Linked DNA regions of Macaca mulatta. The protein of the gene in region 1 purifies or fractionates together with the protein of each later gene. This does not show direct contact. Links are inferred from orthologs where the notes say so. Each region holds a gene or a part of one and is shown in the gene's direction. Other genes may lie near its edges.

Region 1 (2,546 bases):
CCCTTGTGACTGATAGTCACTGTTACTGTGACTGAGTCCAGCCTCAGTTTCCTTATGCAAACCATATTTTCTCTCAATATCAGCTCACAAAACGTGTGGGGAAAGGAGCTGAGCACACGGCAGGGGCTGGTAAATGCTGGCTGTTAATTGGATTTTGTCTGTTTTTTGTTTTTGTTTTTTTTTTTTTGAGACAGAGTCTCACTCTGTCACCCAGGCTGGAGTGCAGTGGTGCTATTTCTGCTCACTGCAAACTCCGCCTCCCGGGTTCGCACCATTCTCCTGCCTCAGCCTCCCGAGTAGCTGGGACTACAGGCACCCACCACCATGCCCGGCTAATTTTTTGTATTTTTTAGTAGAGACGGGGTTTCACTGTGTTAGCCAGGATGGTCTCAATCTCCTGACCTCGTGATCCGCCCGCCTCAGCCTCCCAGAGTGCTGGGATTACAGGCGTGAGTCACTGCACCTGGCCATCTGTTTTTTTTTTTTTGACAGACAGGGTCTTCCTCTCTCACCCAGGCTGCAGCCTCCACCTCCCAGGCTCAAGTGATCCTCCCACCTCAGCCTCCCCAAGTACCTGGGATTATAGGCTGACACCATGACATCTCACTGATTTTTTTTCTAAAAATTATGTTTTTATAAAGAAGGTCTAACTGGCTGTATTTTTGGAAGTGGCAATAGACGTTGAATCTAAGTAGGACACGATTGACCCTATTCCTACCACTTGGCTCACTGGTTGGTCACCCTGGTTTTCTCGTCTGTAAAATGGGTCTAGCTGCAGGACTGGCCATGAGTTTCTAGAAGCTTCTATGGGCATAGCCATCTAGACCAGCTTCTGCAAACCGCAGCTCCCAGACTCACTGCCTGTCTTTATAATAAAGTTTTATTGCAACAAAGAAGCCATGCTCAATTGTTTCACTGTCATCTACAACCGATCTTGCTCTGCCACAGAGTTGAGTCGTGACGGAGACCATATGGCTTGCGGAAGCAGAAATATTTAGTCAGTCCCTTTACTAAAAAAATTTGCTGGCTTTTGTTCTAGATTGCACTATCTAAATTTAAATTAAAGTTAAATAAAATTTAAAGTTCCAGCTGAGTACGGTGGCTCACGCCTGTAATCTCAGCGCTTTGGGAGGCCAAGGCAGGCGGATCACCTGAGGTCAGGAGTTTGAGACCAGCCTGGCCAACATGGCAAAACCCCATCTCTACTAAAAGTAAAAAAATCAGCCAGGCATGGTGACAGGTGTCTGTAACCCCAGCTACTTGGGAGGCTGAGGCACTTGAACCTGGGAGGTGGAGGTTGCAGTGAGCCGAGATTGCACCATTGCACTCCAGCCTGGGTGACAGAGTGAGACTCCATCTCAAATAAATTGGTTAAATATCAATAGGCAGGAAGCCAGCTTGGGGATGTGCAGGGGATAATGGGGACCCCTGGGTGGTGGCCCCACCTCATCTGCCTGCCCTTCTCCTCACAGGACGCGAAGTACCACATGCAACGCTGCATTGACTCCGGCCTCTGGGTCCCCAACTCTAAGGCCAGTGAGGCCAAGGAGGGAGAAGAGGCAGGTCCTGGGGACCCGCTGCTGGAGGCTGTTCCCAAGACGGGAGATGAGAAGGATGTCAGCGTGTGACCTGCCCCAGCTACCACCACCACCTGCTTCCAGGCCCCTATGTGCCCCTTTTCAGAAAACAGATAGATGCCATCTCGCCCGCTCCTGGCTTCCTCCACTTGCGCTGCTCGGCCCAGCCCGGGGGGCCCGCCCAGCCCTCCCTGGCCTCTCCACTGTCCCCACTCTCCAGCGCCCATTCAAGTCTCTGCTTTGAGTCAAGGGGCTTCACTGCCTGCAGCCCCCCATCAGCATTATGCCAAAGGCCCGGGGGTCCGGGGAGGGGCAGAGGTTGCCAGGCTGGTCCACCAGGTAGTAGGGGAGGGTCCTCAGCCAAGGGGCCAGCTCTGGTCACTGGGCTCTGTTTTCACTGTTCGTCTGCTGTCTGTGTCTTCTATTTGGCAAACAGCAATGATGTTCCAATAAAGAATTTCAGATGCTCTCTGGGCTGCTGGAGGGCTGTTCAGGCAGCTCATCTCTTCTAGGTGGGAGGGAAACCTGGTGGAATTATTGGGGACTGAGCCTGTGCTTCTCTGGTCCTTTGCCCACCAGCCATCGTGGGTCCTCGCCTCACACATGCTGTTCCACCACTTGGAACAGTCTTCCTCCAGAGGCCTCAAAAGCCTCTAACCTTCAGTTCTCACCTACCCACTCCCCTGTCCCTACTTGAACCTCCAGAAGCAGGGTTGCCCAAGCTGATCACCACCAGAGGGCAGTAGTGATCTGCAAACCAAGTCAACGTTCCCTAGGGTTTTGTGGATCTTGCCCACCTGCCCACAGAGCCCCGGCCTTCCAGCTTCCTTACCACCTTTTGGAGCAGCATCCTGGACTATATCTCCCCACCCTATGGCCAGCACTGGCCCCAACAGATGTGTTTTGGTTTTTTGGTGTTTTGTTTTGTTTTGTTTTTTTGAGACGGAGTCTCGCTGTGTCGCCCAGGCT
Region 2 (4,161 bases), on another chromosome or scaffold:
TTTTCTTTTGCCCCATTCATGTTAACTCGTGTTATATTATATTCTATTTTTATATTCTATTATATATTCTTTACCTGTAGACATACACACAGATATATATACAAACATGGGTGCTTGTTCTGTTTTCAAAAGGTGGGATAATTTTTTATACTTCTGTAGGTTGCTTTTCATATTCAACAGATACACAAGGAAATTACACTAAGTTAGGAATTTATTGCCTCTTTGTTACTTTTCATAGCTGCAGAGTAGTCCATAAACCTTATTATTATTATTTTTTAATTCCAGCCTGTCCCCTGTGAGCATTCACATATCTTACAGATTTATGTCTCACAAAAGGTGCCATAATAAACATCTTTGAGCATCTTCTTTTTTTTCTTTTTTCTTTTTCATTTTTTTTTTTTTAAAGAGATGGGGTCTCGCTATGTTGACCAGGCTGGTCTCTAACTCCTGGCCTCAAGTGATCCTCCCATCTCAACCTCCCGAAGTGCTGGGGTTACAGGCATGAGCCACCAGACCCAGCCCTGCACATATGTTCTTTCTTCCTGGTGCTTCTGTCTCCCCATTTGGGTAGATCGTTAGGAGAGGGAATGCTGGGTCGAAGAGGATGTGCTTTTTAAATTATAATAGACATTGCTAGATCCCTTTCCTAATAGAGGATAACACTACATTTCTGCCATTGAGCATGGTGCCTCCCTTTTCTTCACCCTCCACCACTTTTATATGTTACAGCCTTAAAAAAATATCTAGTCAATCTGCGTGGTATTTCCCTGAGGCTAGTGAATTTGACCATAAAAAAATGTTGGCAATTTGGCTTTGCTTTTCTGTGAAATGACTATTCAAATTCTTTGGTTGTTTCTTTATTGGGTTACTTATATATTTTTTCTTGTCAGTTCCTAAGGGGCCTTAGTTTACTGTAGTTATTAAACCTTTTCCTGTTGTGTGTGTTATAACATTTTTTGCACACTTGTTTGTTCTAAGCCATTGTCTATGGGAGTATTTTGCCCATTCTTGATTGCAGAAATGGGGCTTCAGGAAGTTAACTGATCTCTGCCCTCGTTTCTTCATGTGTTAAATATGGATAGTAATAGTATCTACCTTATGAAGTGACTGTGAAGATAAAATTATGGATTCTGTTTAAGGGTTTAGGCCAGTGTCTGGCACAGGGGAAGCATTCTAAAAATACAGCTGATGCTGTTAAACAATGACTGTTGTTGTTGTTTTACTGTTATTATCCCCAAAGCGGCCCATTCTGTCTGTTGCTGTCAGCTATGACTCAGTCCCCTGATTAACTTACCCACCACCCATTTTATCCCCTGCAGAGATGCTGCCCCCACCCCCTTAGGCCCGAGGGATCAGGAGCTATGGGGCCAGGGGCCCTCTCGTCTTTACTGCTGCTGCTCTTGGTGGCAAGTGGAGATGCTGACATGAAGGGACATTTTGATCCTGGTGAGGAGACTGAATCATGGGTCCCTGAGGGCCAGGGCTTGGGAGGTAGAGATTTGGGGGCCTTGACCTGTTACATGCCTGCTTTTTACTCAGCCAAGTGCCGCTATGCCCTGGGCATGCAGGACCGGACCATCCCAGACAGTGACATCTCTGCTTCCAGCTCCTGGTCAGACTCCACTGCCGCCCGCCACAGCAGGTACTTGGCACACCTGATACACCTGCAGCTGCCCCGAGGGGAGCCCCTGGGACCTCTACTTCCCCTCCAACCCCTCTGCCCATGCCAGTGAAAGCCCTGCAGTCTGAGGGGCGAATGAAGTGGGGTTTAAGTACTGGAGATAGAGGCAGACCTGGGGCCAGATGTTCTCTGTGCCCCTCTTCACCCTCTCAGGTTGGAGAGCAGTGACGGGGATGGGGCCTGGTGCCCCGCAGGGTCGGTGTTTCCCAAGGAGGAGGAGTACTTGCAGGTGGATCTACAACGGCTGCACCTGGTGGCTCTGGTGGGCACCCAGGGACGGCATGCTGGGGGCCTGGGCAAGGAGTTCTCCCGGAGCTACCGGCTGCGTTACTCCCGGGACGGTCGCCGCTGGATGGACTGGAAGGACCGCTGGGGTCAGGAGGTGAGGCTGGCAGAGGCAGCACCCAGAGGAGGTTGATTTTCCTCACTTCCAGCTGTACTGTAAACACCACCTATACACTGACGACCCTCCAGTTTATATAATCGCCAGCCCAAGCCTCTCAGCTGAGCTCCAAACAGTATTGCAAACCTGGCTACCTTTTGGACTTCTTCACCTAGATGTCTTTTTTTTTTTTTTTTTTTTTAAACAGATGGGGTCTTGCTATGTTGCCCAGGCTGGTCTTGAACTCCTGGGCTCAGCGATCTTCCCACCTTAGCCTCCCAAAGTGCTGGGATTACAAGCATTGTAGTCAGCCACCTAGATGTCTAATAGGCATCTCAAACGTACCTTTAATTTCCCAAGCTGAATTTGATTCCCATTCCTAACCTAAACCTGCTCCTCCCCTGGCATTCTCCAGCTCAGGAAGTGGTATCACCATTGCCTGGTTGCCTAGGCTATAAGCTAAGATGATATCCTTGATTCCTCTTTTTCTCTCACCTCCTTCCAAAGCATCAGCAGCCCAGTCCGTTCTACCTCCATAGTGTTCCTGAGTCCAGTCACTCCTCACCACTCCACCTCTACTGCCCTAGGCCACCCGCCCACCATCTCCAGCTTAGATGAGTGCAGTAGATGCCAAATCGGTCTCCCTGCTTCTGCCCTTTTCTGCCTGGAGCCAGATTTCCACCTGGGGGGCTGCATCAAGTGGACCTTAAAGCATGTAAATCAGATACATCACACCTAGCCGACACCCCTGTGCTGGCTTTCCACTCTGCCAGAACAAAAGCTGAGCCCCTAGCTGGTGCGGGATGCTCAGCCTGACCTGGCTCCTGCCTGCATCACTGGCTCCTTGTGCCTCCTTGGCCACACTGCCGTTCTCGTTGCTGGAACAAGCCAGGGCTCGTTCCCACAGCTTCCGGACGTTTTCTCTGTGCCTGCAAAGCTCCTCCCGCAAATAACCACAGGCTCTCCCTCACCCCATTCGGTTCTCCGCCAGGTGTCACCTCCTCAGAGAGCCTTTTCTGGCCACCCACTGCACTGCTCTGTCCATACACCCTGCCTCTTGTTCTTCGCAGCTGTTTCCCTTGCTGGGATTTCAGTCCTGCAAGGGTGGGGAGTGACGTTCACCACTGAGAACGTGCCTGGCACAGAGCGGGCACTCACCCACCTTCTGCTGAATAAACAGAGGGAATGGGCTGAAATGAAGGGGAAGCTGAGGCAGGGGTGCAGGGCTGTGAGGACTGGGGAGAATCTGGGCACAATGGGAGGATAGGCTGGGAGACAAATGGATGGAGCCAGACAAGGAGAAGAGGGCAGCTGAGCCTGGAGTCTGAGGACAGAACATCAGAGCTGCAAGAGGACCAGAGGTCTCAGCTGCAGATCTTCATTTCACCCATGCCTGGCTGCGCCCCACAGTGCTGTGTGCTCGGTGCCACCCCTCACGGGTCTCTAAGTGGCCACTGTGGGCTGGGCCAGGGAGCAGCTGGTGGCTGGGAAGTAAGATCTGACCTGGACCCCTTCCCACACACCCCGTTTCCTGGCCCACAGGTGATCTCAGGCAATGAGGACCCTGAGGGAGTAGTGCTGAAGGACCTTGGGCCCCCCATGGTTGCCCGACTGGTTCGCTTCTACCCCCGGGCTGACCGGGTCATGAGCGTCTGTCTGCGGGTGGAGCTCTATGGCTGCCTCTGGAGGGGTGAGTGGCCCAGCTCCCTGGAAATCTGTTTCCTGAGCAGGGGAGTGCAGGGTGGGGAGTGTGGAGAATGGGCATCCAGGATTCCCTTTCTCCTGCTGGGAAACTGTCACTCTGAGGAGGGGGCTAGCTGGCATTGTCTCCTCCATGCCAATGTGCCAGTGGAGAGATATGAGAAGGGACCTGAAACCTGCCCAGGCCTGATGCAGGGATGGGGGATGGAGCCTTCGTGCCTCTGATCCCCATCCTCTCACCCTGCCCCAGATGGACTCCTGTCTTACACCGCCCCTGTGGGGCAGACAATGTACTTATCTGAGGCTGTGTACCTCAACGACTCCACCTATGATGGACATACCATGGGCGGGTAAGAAAGACCCCTGCAGGACGTGGAGTTTGGGGTGGGAGGGAGGA
Region 3 (4,043 bases), on another chromosome or scaffold:
GGACATGGACTTGGCCAGAGCAGGAAACAAGGGTGGCCGAGGACAAGTGCTGAGCCACCAAGTGGGCACAGAGAGGTGGGCATGAGGGCTCCCTGGGAGCAGAGCCCTTCCAAGGCCCTGAGGTCAGTCCAGGGACACCCTGGCCTCTGGGAGCTGCAGGGTTGAGCTGTGCATGGGCTGGGTAGGGTCAGCAAACAGCCAGTCACTGAGGGACTTTTAGCGCCCATTTTCCTGATGACTACATTTAGTCCTGGAAGCCACAAGCCAGGCGGGCAGCAGACTCGGCCGGCCCTCCCCCCAGCTCACTGGCTCCCATGGGCTCCGGACCCCCTTGGGCTTTGCCTGAAGATGGGAGCAGTTGGCCTTTTCCTTGTGAGGGTGGACACAGAAGCTAACAGTCATGTGGGGTAAGGGGACCCAGACACCCGCAGCGTCCCCCGCAGGGCAGTATCTTCCCCTCCTGGGAACCCACCTCACCAGTCCCAACCCTCCTCAGCTGGACTCTGAGCCCGCCCCGTGGAGCCTAGAACCTCGGGCCAGCTCAGGCTCTGCCACCAGCTCTTCGTTATTCTCCCTCAGAGCCGGGCTGCGCTCCCCAAGCCAGGGGTCTCCAGCCCCTGCCCTTCATTCTAGGCCGGGCAGGCAGCCAGTCCCAGGCCTGTGTCCTCCTGGGGGGCAGGGGTAGGGACCTCTCGGGGCTGGGCACTCAGGCGGCTTAGGTGCATGCGGCTCGGCCCCAGGTTAGTCAACGCAGCCTCTGCTCCTTGCCAGTCAGGTACGCAGGCCGCACCGGGCTGCCCCAGGCCTGCGGCGCACACCGGAGGCTCGGCCTGGAATGCCGCCCTGCCCTCCTCCACCTGAGGAATTCCCGCTCACACCACAGGGTTCAGCTCCGCGGCATCTTGGCGACGCCTCCTGACATCCCGACCCCCGCCGAGACCTCCCCTCTGAGCTCCTGAGCACAGCCTCAGGGGACCCGAGCTGCGCGCTGTGCAAACGGAAGCCTGCGCTCGCCCTCGGTGCGCCCCGTGCCCACCGCCCACCGGGCCGCCCCGCGGTGCGATTGGGGGCCTCGCCCGCCTGCCCCGGCTCCCACGCCCTCGAGACCGCCGGGCGCCCCCGCCCGGCCACGCCCCCTCGGATGCCCCGCTCCGCCCCGAGGGGGCGTGCCTTGCGCCCCGGCGAGTCGGGCGGGGGCCGGGCGGGAGCGGGGCGGGGCCGGGGCGGGGCGCGGACCGTCCCCCACTGGCTGCGGCGCGCGGGGCAACCCAGGCTCAGTGCGCGGTGGCGGCGGCGGCGGCGGTGGCGGCGTCGCGAGCAGCTGGCGCCGCGCGGTCCTGCTCTGCCGGTCGCACGGACGCACCGGCGGGCCGCCGGCCGGAGGGACGGGGCGGGAGCTGGGCCTGCGGACAGCGAGCCGGAGCGGGAGCCGCGCCTAGCGAGCCGGACTCCGGCGCCCGCCAGGTCGGTGCTTGGGTCCGGGCAGGCGCGCGGAGGGGTCCAACGGTGCGCGCGGAGGGGCCGGGGCGCGGCAGTCGCGGAACCACAGCAGTCCCTGCGGCGGGCCGGGCCGGGGCGCGGGCTTCCCGCTCCGGAAAGTTTGCCGCCGCCGCCGCCGCCCTGGGAGGGCTCTGCAGCAGCCAGGGAGGGAAGGGGGAGGAGGGAGGAACCGCGGCGGGGAGGAGGCGGCCGGCGCCAGGCGGCCCGGGAGCTCTGGGCGGCGGCGGCGGCGGGCGGGGCGGCTGGGGGTCGGAGGGGTCGGGGCGCAGGAGCCGGCCACCGCCGCTTTCGTCCCTACCCGCGCCGCTAACGAGCTGCCCTCCTCCTCCCGCAGTTTCCCAAGCGGCGCCCGCCTCCCGCCGGTGCCCGCGCCGGGCCGTGGGGGGCAGCATGCCCGCGTGCGCCGCCTGAGGACGCCGCGGCCCCCGCCCCCGCCATGGGCGCCCCTGCCTGCGCCCTCGCGCTCTGCGTGGCAGTGGCCATCGTGGCCGGCGCCTCCTCGGAGTCCTTGGGGACGGAGCAGCGCGTCGTGGGGCGAGTGGCAGGTAAGAAGGGACCCACTGGGCACGGGAGGGGCCGGCCCGTGCGGGCAGAGGCGTTGGGGACGGGAACCGGCCCCAGGTCGGAGGGAACTCCGGGTGTGAGTGACGCCCCGGGGTCAGCGCCCGGATTCCGCTGTCTCCGTCCCGGAGAGCGCGGCCAGCGGTAGCGCGGCGACTTGTGGGGCGCCTGGAGCCGCAGGTACCCCCCAAATGCGAGGCCGCCACTGGGAGCCAGGCCGGGGGTTGGCGTCCGCAGCCCCGTCCCCTGCGGCTCCCCAGCCCTGGCCTGTCGGGAGGGCGCGGGTTTCCCCATTTCCACGATTCCCGCTGTTCTTCGGGTTCTGCGCAGACGGAAAGTTCCCATTGTTGGCGTCCCCCTCCCCCGGGCCCCAGTTTGTGGCGAGCTTCGGCCAAGGGGAGAGGCCGGACTTCTGAGGGTGGGTGTGCGCGTCAGCGAAGCCCGGCCCCTGCCCGCCGGACGAGGCTGCAGCCTCCAGCGCCCCCGCTGCCGACCCTGCCAGTGCCTGGGGGCTGAGGGCGCTTCCCCGTGGGTGCGCGCCGAGCTCCAGGCGAGCGAGGAGCGCGTGTCCCAGCGTCGCGGGCCCTAGACCGGGCTGGCGGTCCAGGTCCTGCGGGACGTCAAGTGTCTGAAGGGAGGTGAGGGGAAGGGGCGCCCGGCCCGCCCTGCACGCGCGCCGCGGTTCCTCGCGGGTCGGGCCGAGAGCTCCGGTGCCGCCGCCCCGTACACGCTGCCGGCTCCGGGCGGGCGAAGGGGGCGCGCACAGCCCAGCCCGGCGGCCGCGCGGAGGGAGGCCCTGGCCCGGTGAGTTCGCGCCCCACCCGGGCCCAGGCCCGAACAGCCGCTCCTTTGTACCTCGGCGCGGCCACAGACCGCGCATTGATGGCGGCGCGGCGGCTCGCGGGGAGGTGTGAGCGGCTGCGGGCGCGGCGGGCCGGGGAGGGCGCCGGGAGGGCCGAGGCAGATGGCGGCCGCCCCGCCCGCGCCCCCGCGCCCCTTTCTCCGGCGGCGGCTGCAGCCTCCCGGAACAATGTCATTTTTTTTATGAATGAAAGTGGCCCGGCGCTTGAATGTGCGTGTCATTCAGCGGCGTGACAGGGGCCGTCGGGAGGTCAGCGCGCGCTTTTAGCGCCTGCTCGGGCGGCCCCGCTTCCAGGGGTGCGGGAGGGGCGGCCGCGGGGGGAGCCTGGCTTTCGTATTCTCATTCAGATAAAGATATTACTCCCTACGGCCCGGGAATGTCAGCCAGCCCCGGGGAGGGGCGGCGGCCAGGCTACAGAGCGTCTCCCGGATCCCCGGCGGGCGCGCGGGGCCTCCCCTTCTCGCCCCTGGAACGCCCCGCCCCCCGCCTTGGGGCGGCGACCCCGCCCGCACTGGAGCTGGTGAAACAGGTAGTGAGTTGATCGGTCAATAAATTTAATCCGGTTCCTTAACAAGATGGGCCGGGCAGTAAAAATACAAAGACCTCGTGAAATGGACTGAGGTCTAGGCTGGCGCTTGCCTGGGAACATAAATTATGGAGCCTTGGCTGGCAGTGGTCAAGGGCGGTGGGGAAGGTTTTGGCCCCTGGACTGCCCTGGCCACCCCAGGCCCTGCCAGGACAGCCGCCATCTCCCCAGAGGGCTGTGTTCCTGGTTGGAGCCTAGGGGGACCCCCCAGGGTGCAGGGAGGAAGACAAGGTCGGCTCTCCCACAGCGCCACACCCCCCAGCAGGGGTCTCGGGGTGCAGGGTCTTTCCTGAAGGTGCTGACTGAATCCTCCCCCACCCCTCCTCTGCCGGGCTGGACTTTGAGCCGCGTGGGCCTCTGGGTGGTTCATTAACCTGGGCTGAGCGTGGCCTCCAGGTCCTTGTGTGAGCCTAGGAACCCCTCGTTACTCACCCCCCAGCCCCCCAGCTCTCAGGTACTTGGAGCTGGAACTGGGAATGGGGCACCCCTTGTTACAGCTGAGCTTGGGTGGGAGTCCAGGGGCTTGGGGGTCTC
Region 4 (3,990 bases), about 4.0 Mb from region 1:
TGAGCCACCGCGCCCGGCCACAAAATAAATTTCTAATTTAGCAGCAAGTGCTCTTGAGAGGGCAGTAAAGTGAAGAAGGCGGGACTGGGAGGACCTCGGGAGGTGAGCTTTCGCCCAGATCCTCACCTCGCTTTAGGAAGGGAGAACAGAGGCAGTCTTCTGTCCCAACATCCTTCTCCCCACAGTTGGGAAAATAGCGCTGGTGGATTCCTTGTTTGTTCATTTTGTTTTATTTTACTTATTTATTTATTTATGTATTTTATTTTGAGACGGAGTCTCGCTCTGTCGCCCAGGCTGGAGTGCAGTGCCCCGATCTCGGCCCACTGCAACCTCCGCCTCCCCGATTCAAGCTATTCTCAGGCCTCAGCCTCCTGAGTAGCTGGGATTACAGGTGCGTGCCACCACGCCCGGGTAATTTTTGTATTTTTAGCAGAGACGGGATTTCACCATGTTGGCTAGGCTGGTCTCGAACTCCTGACCTCAAGTGATCCGCCCACTTCGGCCTCCCAAAATGCTGGGATTACAGGCGTGAGCCACCGCGCCCGGCCTGTTTGTTTATTTTAAAAAGAAACGGAGTCTGCTTATGTTGCCTAGGCTGGTCTCCAACTCCTAGGCCCTAGAGATTCTCCTGTCTTGGCCTCAGGAAGTGATGGAAATTACAGTCGTGAGGCTCCGTGTCAGGTTCTCTTATTGCCATATTGTAGAAAGAAAGAGACCCCTGGGTTAAGCAGACGCGGGTTAGGTTGTTCGTCCGGCGTCACCCGGCGGAGGCCCACCGCAGGTCCCGCGAGACAAGGGCTGGAAGGTTTATCACCTCCTGGGGAAAAGACAGGCTAGTCCCAGGCCCCACCCCTTCCCGGAACATCACCTTCGCGACGGCTCCTGACCCACTGACCCAGGCGGAGGGCGGGACGCAGGGTCGCTGGGGCGGTGCAGAGTGTGAAAGAAGCTCGCGATTGGCTCGTCCCGGAAGGTGGGCGGGGCCTCCTCCGACCTGTGCGCGCGCCGCCGGGAGGCGTTGTCGAGGGCGGAGCGGGAGGGGGCGTGGCCCCGCGCCGGCGGCCGTTGACGGCAAAGCCCCGCCCCGGATGTCGCGTGTCACGGAAAGGGTGGCGGCGATTGGCCGGCGCCGCGGGCGGGGGGGCGGGGCGGAAGGTTCTGGAGGGGGCTGGCGGGCTCTGGAAGCTTCCGCCGGACGGGTATATAGAGTCCGGGACCGGGCGGCGGCGGAGCCGGGGGACGGCGACAGCGGGTCGGCGGGCCGCAGCGGGGGGCCATGGGCAAAGACTACTACCAGACGCTGGGCCTGGCCCGCGGCGCGTCGGATGAGGAGATCAAGCGGGCCTACCGCCGCCAGGCGCTGCGCTACCACCCGGACAAGAACAAGGAGCCCGGCGCCGAGGAGAAGTTCAAGGAGATCGCCGAGGCCTACGACGTGCTCAGCGACCCGCGCAAGCGCGAGATCTTCGACCGCTACGGAGAGGAAGGTGTGTGCGCGCGGCCAGGGGCGCGGTCCCGCCGTTTGACAGGGAAACCGAGGCATACCGGCCCCTCTCGGCGGCCCCCCGGGAAGGACGCCCCGGGCCCGGGGGCCGAGCTGCCCCGCCCTCCGGCCGCTCGGGCCTCCGCCCTTGGATTGGCGGCCGTGCGGTGGGGGGAGGAGCCTTGGCCCAGCCGCTCGCCCAGAAGCTTCTAGCATGTCTAAGGCTGCCCCTCCCCGGGCGCCTCTTCCCGCGGCCCCGAGCAGCCCCGGGGTGCGGTGCAGGGGGGTGGGGGAGCCGGGGGTGACGACGGGGACGGCACGGCGGAGCCTGCTGCGGACCCGAGCTCACCTGGGCTTAGCCGCCGGGGTCCGCAGGGCGGCGCCTGCGGCTCAGCTGCGGGGCGCGGGGCTGTAAATGCAGGCGCCGACCCCGCTCGCGGGCCTTGGGGCTGGGCTGGGATGATTTCCGGGAAGTGATGACCTGGTCCCGGCCGGGCACGCAGGAGGCAGCGGCCGCCTAGGTGCGGAGAGCTGGGCCGCCTGGGGGTTTGGGGGGACGGAGAGTGGGGCTTTTTGTCCCTGTGCCCCTTGATGACTCAGGCTGGCTTCTGGGCTTGATCTGGGACTGACTTATTATGCAAGGATGGTAGCAGTGAATGCTAGTGTGAGGGTTTAAAAACTCTACATCTTTTTTTTTCCTTATTTTCACTCTTCGTACACATCAGTAGTCCTAAAATGTTGAAAGTAAATACCGAAAGCCGACCCTGGACCGTGTGTGTTTAGCCATCCCTTGGTGACATTGCCAGGAGGATGGGTCAGTCCAGGAGTGGCAGGGCCCAGGTGGCACCTGTAGGTGGACACCTAACCGCATGAGTCCTTTTCCACTGTCAGGCTATGCGGAAGTACTTGGTGGGGGGGGGGGCAGCTCTGCTGCTGCAGTGAGGGGTAGAAGCTTGGGGTTCTTCCTTGCTCTCCCCTGGCAGGCTAAAAAAAGTTCCTCCCCCATGGCTTCCAAGCTTTTTTCCCCCGTAAGGGAAGCTCGAGAGGGAGTCTGCTGTTCAGCCATCTGACTGCTTCTAATTCTGCTTTTCAGGCCTAAAGGGCAGTGGCCCCAGTGGCGGTAGCGGCAGTGGTGCCAATGGTACCTCTTTCAGCTACACGTTCCATGGAGACCCTCATGCCATGTTTGCTGAGTTCTTCGGTGGCAGAAATCCCTTTGACACCTTTTTTGGGCAGCGGAACGGGGAGGAAGGCATGGACATTGATGACCCGTTCTCTGGCTTCCCTATGGGCATGGGTGGCTTCACCAACGTGAACTTTGGCCGCTCCCGCCCTTCCCAAGAGCCCACCCGAAAGAAGCAAGATCCCCCAGTCACCCACGACCTTCGAGTCTCCCTTGAAGAGATCTACAGCGGTTGTACCAAGAAGATGAAAATCTCCCACAAGCGGCTAAACCCCGACGGAAAGAGCATTCGAAACGAAGACAAAATCTTGACCATCGAAGTGAAGAAGGGGTGGAAAGAAGGGACCAAAATCACCTTCCCCAAGGAAGGAGACCAGACCTCCAACAACATTCCAGCTGATATCGTCTTTGTTTTAAAGGACAAGCCACACAATATCTTTAAGAGAGATGGCTCTGATGTGATTTATCCTGCCAGGATCAGCCTCCGGGAGGTAAGGTGCCAGGTGGGGCGGTGTCTGCAGAGCGCGATGGCTGCTCTTTGAAGCAGTTTATTTAGGTTTTGCTGAACACGCATTGGGTGTGTGGCGCTTGCCAGGCTTGGGGCACCACAGTGAACAGGAGTGATCAGGGTGCTGTTCTGGAGCTTTCATGGTGGAGACATGTCGATTTGGGGGCCAGGTGTTGGCTGCAGAGGCCTGATGAGTCTTACTCTATGCCAGATGGTCTCCGGGCAAGAGCTGAGCCTCTTGAGCCAGCTTCCATCTAATGCTTATCCCTTTGCTTTTCAAGGCTCTGTGTGGCTGCACAGTGAACGTCCCCACTCTGGACGGCAGGACCATACCCGTCGTATTCAAAGATGTCATCAGGCCTGGCATGCGCCGAAAAGTTCCTGGAGAAGGCCTCCCCCTCCCCAAAACGCCCGAGAAACGTGGGGACCTCATTATTGAATTTGAAGTGATCTTCCCCGAAAGGATTCCCCAGACATCAAGAACCGTACTTGAGCAGGTCCTTCCAATATAGCTGCCAGAGCTCCGACTGACCAGGGACCTTTCCAGAGCTCAAGGATTTCTGGACCTTTCTACCAATTGTGGACCATGGGAGGGCCCAGGGAGGACTTTCATACTGCTGAATGTTTTCCAGAGCATATATTACAATCTTTCAAAGTCGTACACTAGACTAAAGTGGTTTTTCGAGCGATAGGGCATCAGGTGGTGGGAACAGCAGGAAAAGGCATTCCAGTCTGCCCCACTGGGTCCGGCAGCCCTCCCGGGATGGGCCCACATCCTCCTCCTCCAGTCCCTGTCCAGGGGTAGAGGCAGACCAG
Region 5 (3,973 bases), on another chromosome or scaffold:
CAAGTTTTCTTTTACTCCATTGTAGAAGGTTTTAAAGACTTTTTTTCTCCAAAAGCTCATTTTCACCTGAAATAATTGTATTCAAGGGTTTCTCAGCAGGTAAAGTATACATTCTTACAAGGTTTCAAATTTCAGATTTCCAATAATGCATTTAAACTGAGCACTCCTCTTTCTGTGTATGTATCTATTATCTGCAGTTCTATTATTTACACTAAATTTTAGTCTTTTTAGCTCCTCTGAAATACGTTAGTGAACCCTCAGCAGTTACTAACCACTTAATAATTGTGAACCCGCCAGCCCCTTCAAGTAGATCGTTAACCATAAGAGTGCCTGACAATTTCCAAACCATACCCTCTGTCTAAAAGGAAAAGATAGGGCTTTGTGAGGCAGAAAGGAAGCGAAGGAAAACAAAACAAATGTAGCTCATGCTGAAAGTGAAAAGTGCTTGAACAGATTAGTATTTTCTTTTCTGCAAGGCATCCTGCCAAACTTTTTCTTTATTTTTTTAAGAGAAGAGTTATTTTTTGGTCTGATTTTTCAGTTTCTTGGAAAGTATTGGTATTTACCACCCCCATCGGCCCTTCATAATTATTGTTAGTTGTTTTGTGTTTTTCCCATCCGTCCACGTCACACAGTGAGGATACCCCCTGCTTCACCCTGTCAAAACCCCAACTCTGGGCGACCCTGGGTTTGGAAACTCCGCCGACTCCCGACGACACGTCCCACTCTCTCCCACTAACGCCGCTTATTTTAGTCGCAGGATCCCCCTACTACAGTTTCAGTGAAAGCCGGAAATTTTCATTTAACTCCCCTGCCCCCCCAACCCCCCCGCCCCGCGCCTTTCTAGCCCCCGACTCGTAGAAGGGAGCTAGGGAGCCCGGAGCTCGGAGCACTGCCGGGGCTTGGCCGCCTCCTTTCTCTCCGGAAGGCTTTAATTTGCACACTTTCTTGCCACTGCGCCACGAGCCCCCAGCCTCGCCGCTGGGTGGGTCTCCGGCAGAGTTGGCTTCTCGGGTCCCTGCCCCCACCCCGCGCGGTCGCCCCCGCTGCCTCCCTGGCTGGGGCCCCCAGCGCCGGCCAGAGCCCCGCGGCCCCCGTCCGCCCCCAGCTAGCGGCGCGGGCGGCGCCCTCCGCCTTCCCTCCGCCCTCCGCCGCTGTGCCCACCCCCTCGCCGGAGAGAGTGCTGGTAACTCCTTCCCCAGAGTCTGATTACCTGCTCCGCGAGGCCGCGGACACGTGCGGAGAGCCGACTGACACTCGCAGCCCCCTCAGGAGGCCCGACGCGACTGGGCCCCTCAGGTGAGGAGCTGTGCGCTCGGGTGGGTGGGCTGCGGGGTGGGGGGTCCCTGGGGAGATATGGGGGATTGGCCGGGGTCCGAGGCAGAACTGTGGGTGGGGTAAGTGGAGGCTGGCGGGGGGTGGGGGGGACCTGTGTTTCCCTGGAATCGGCTTTGGTTAACCCCTTACGAACTGAGACGGCGTTGGTTATGGGGGCCAGTTTTGGGGAGCTAGAGGATTCTAATCTGACGAGAGGGGGAGATCCTACGCTAGGGACACCCGCGACACCGAGATCCTGCTTCCACGTACCCGTGCGCACACACACTCACACAGAACACTCCTCATCCAGTTTCTCCAAACGGAACTGGAACTCTACTCGGACATTCACATAATAATTCACATTTAGGGTTCAAAATGCACTGCCTCTAGGGACTCCATGCTGGAGAATGTGCTTGCATTTCCCCCACGAAAACTCCCTCGCCAGCTCGCTGAGGTGTGGGTGTGGGCTCCACCTTCCCCTCCACGAGATAAATGTTAACGCAGGCTTCCTGCGGGCGTGTTATGCACAGAAGAGTGCACGCAGCCGGCCGGTGCCCAGGCTTGGAGCCCCACGAAGACGCACGTTTGCTTTAGTTTCCAAGTTTACTTTTATCATTTAAAATATTGGAGTTAAACACACGCCCCGTGGTGAGCAGCCCTTGTCCCCGCAGGGCGCCCGTCCGTGTGCATATGGGCGCATCTGCGTGTGCGCACACGCGGGAGTCGCGGTCCCCGGTGTGGCCTCTTGTTGCCGTGCTGGTGGCGACCCTTGTGGTGCTTGGCAGGCTTCGGGAGAGGCGCATGAAGGATTTCATTGAGTGTGAAGACAGAGAGCAGAGACAGAAAGCAGAAGGAGGCGGCTGCAGCCTTTGTAGTCGCGGAGGAATGCGGAAATGTTGAAGCACTATGTCAAACTTTTTTTGAAATGGGGTCAAGTCACATTCAGCCAGCGTGGGAAAGCAACAACAACAACAAAAAAAAAGTGGAGGAGAGGGGGGGAAAAGGCATTGCTGCTCCCGTTTCTCTCCGCCGAAGCCGACCGTCTGGGGGGCGAGTGGGGGGAGAGTCAGGGTAGTGCGGGGCCCGGCGGGGGCAGCAGGCGAAGTTCCCTGCGGGGGTGGGACGTCCCCGACGCTTCCTTCGCTGCGGAGCCCGGGGCTAGACTCGAGCGGGAGGGGGATGGGGGGACGCAGGAGAGGCGGGTTGGGCGGCCGGCGGCGGCTCCCCGGCTACCTGTGTGGCCCTCGACCTGGCTCAGACGCCCGGGCAGTCCTTGGGGGCTCTTTCCTCGGCTTTTAAGGAAAGTTCTGAATGGAGTGAGTGCCAGAAGCACTGCTTTCGCCGCGGTCCGCTCCACGCGCTCATCGTGGGGGTCGCGCCGTTTGTTTAATTCCTGGCAAAAGGCGAGCGGGGCAGCGGTTGCGAGGCAGGTAATTCCGAGGTGCCCCGGGAATTCCGGACACGCGGCCAGCGTGGTGAAAGTCCTGCCGAGGCCGCGGCGGCCGTGGGGGAGGGAGGCTCCCTAGGTCCCAGATAGCTGCTGAATGGGGAGGGAAAGTTAGGGTACCCTTCTCCGGCGCTTTGTTATGCAGAGGGCTCCGGGGGCGTCCGGCTGCAGCCTGGACCCGGCCTTTAGCCGGAGAGGGAATGGGGCAGCCACCTCCGCTACCTACAGCGGGGTGGTCCTGGGAGTGGGAAAAGGTTCGCGAGTCCGGGCCCCGAGGGCAGAGACCTTGTTTCTCACCCCTGGAGGCGCAGGGTTTAACCCCCCACCCCCCACCCTTTGAAAGAGAGGTTGAGTTTTGCTCAGGTCGAAATCAATTTAAAACTTCAGGACGAGGCGCGATTAAGCTATCCTCTTCCTGAAATTATTCTTTAAGAAGACGACAAGCGAAATTGTGACGAACACCCCTTTCTCCCACCCTTGGGATCCCGTGGGGGACAGTGTCTCCCCTCCCCCAGGACCTCTCGTTCGCCCACCCCCGATTAGCCCCAACCCTCCCCGACCAGATGGCTGGTCTTCCCAAGGTTTCCACCAGGGAGGTCCTCCCAGTCGGAGAGAGAATTCCGTTTCCAACCGAGACTCCTTTACCCCAAAGAGACCATTTGTGTATGCGAGTCGTTTTTAAATGTCTCCTCGTAGAAAAACTGAAAGTAGAAAGAAAGGAAGCAATTTCTGAGCAGATGTCTGACCACCCCTTCTCGCACACTCACAGCATCGGGTTACAGGGTCCTGGGAGCCCCCACCCACATTCTGCGGCCCCACACGGATGGACCCACAGTCCTTCCGCTCCAGCTTGTGCGCGACCCTTGAACGCCCTCCGGCACCCCTGGACCCCATCTCCCTGCACGTCCGGGCCTCAGGAGGCGGGGAGGGTAGCGACGCAACACAATGATATAGGGATAAATATTAAGCCGTGACATTGACGTGCCCGGCGCCTCCCCTCCCCCGCGCTCCCGGCACACTCTGGGCTGCTCGGCACGCCCCCTCCCGTTCCACTGCGTCCCGCGCCGCTCGCTCATCCCCGAGGGGCCCCTGCAACCTCTCCGCGCGAAGACGGCTTCAGCCCTGCAGGGAAAGAAAAGTAACTTCGCTTTTCTCGGAGGAACCAGGAAGGATTAAGCGGCTTGGGAGAGGGCAGGAGCGCGCGGAGGG

The links.
Region 2: the proteins of CDC37 (region 1) and DDR1 purify together in Homo sapiens (affinity purification with mass spectrometry; 3 studies listed by BioGRID and IntAct, with this or other methods). This does not show direct contact. The link is inferred for Macaca mulatta from reciprocal best matches to the Homo sapiens genes CDC37 and DDR1.
Region 3: the proteins of CDC37 (region 1) and FGFR3 purify together in Homo sapiens (affinity purification with mass spectrometry; 4 studies listed by BioGRID and IntAct, with this or other methods). This does not show direct contact. The link is inferred for Macaca mulatta from reciprocal best matches to the Homo sapiens genes CDC37 and FGFR3.
Region 4: the proteins of CDC37 (region 1) and DNAJB1 purify together in Homo sapiens (affinity purification with mass spectrometry; 3 studies listed by BioGRID and IntAct, with this or other methods). This does not show direct contact. The link is inferred for Macaca mulatta from reciprocal best matches to the Homo sapiens genes CDC37 and DNAJB1.
Region 5: the proteins of CDC37 (region 1) and CDK6 purify together in Homo sapiens (affinity purification with western blotting; 5 studies listed by BioGRID and IntAct, with this or other methods). This does not show direct contact. The link is inferred for Macaca mulatta from reciprocal best matches to the Homo sapiens genes CDC37 and CDK6.

What each region holds. Positions count from the first base shown.
Region 1 is NC_133424.1:11,120,033-11,122,578, reverse strand, and holds the end of CDC37 (hsp90 co-chaperone Cdc37), read left to right. Parts: intron 1-1,472; coding exon 1,473-1,628; 3' UTR 1,629-2,046; downstream 2,047-2,546. UniProt on the Homo sapiens protein: Co-chaperone that binds to numerous kinases and promotes their interaction with the Hsp90 complex, resulting in stabilization and promotion of their activity. Inhibits HSP90AA1 ATPase activity.
Region 2 is NC_133409.1:152,164,634-152,168,794, reverse strand, and holds the start of DDR1 (epithelial discoidin domain-containing receptor 1 precursor), read left to right. Parts: upstream 1-1,361; coding exon 1,362-1,446; intron 1,447-1,539; coding exon 1,540-1,642; intron 1,643-1,834; coding exon 1,835-2,063; intron 2,064-3,605; coding exon 3,606-3,753; intron 3,754-4,014; coding exon 4,015-4,114; intron 4,115-4,161. UniProt on the Homo sapiens protein: Tyrosine kinase that functions as a cell surface receptor for fibrillar collagen and regulates cell attachment to the extracellular matrix, remodeling of the extracellular matrix, cell migration, differentiation, survival and cell proliferation.
Region 3 is NC_133410.1:1,910,164-1,914,206, forward strand, and holds the start of FGFR3 (fibroblast growth factor receptor 3), read left to right. Parts: upstream 1-1,243; 5' UTR 1,244-1,464; intron 1,465-1,834; 5' UTR 1,835-1,936; coding exon 1,937-2,045; intron 2,046-4,043.
Region 4 is NC_133424.1:15,127,969-15,131,958, reverse strand, and holds the start of DNAJB1 (dnaJ homolog subfamily B member 1), read left to right. Parts: upstream 1-1,190; 5' UTR 1,191-1,276; coding exon 1,277-1,487; intron 1,488-1,633; exon of another isoform or gene 1,634-2,004; intron 2,005-2,576; coding exon 2,577-3,157; intron 3,158-3,455; coding exon 3,456-3,686; 3' UTR 3,687-3,990. UniProt on the Homo sapiens protein: Interacts with HSP70 and can stimulate its ATPase activity. Stimulates the association between HSC70 and HIP. Negatively regulates heat shock-induced HSF1 transcriptional activity during the attenuation and recovery phase period of the heat shock response.
Region 5 is NC_133408.1:126,535,343-126,539,315, forward strand, and holds the start of CDK6 (cyclin-dependent kinase 6), read left to right. Parts: upstream 1-1,173; 5' UTR 1,174-1,299; intron 1,300-1,952; exon of another isoform or gene 1,953-2,747; intron 2,748-3,810; exon of another isoform or gene 3,811-3,972; intron 3,973-3,973. UniProt on the Homo sapiens protein: Serine/threonine-protein kinase involved in the control of the cell cycle and differentiation; promotes G1/S transition. Phosphorylates pRB/RB1 and NPM1.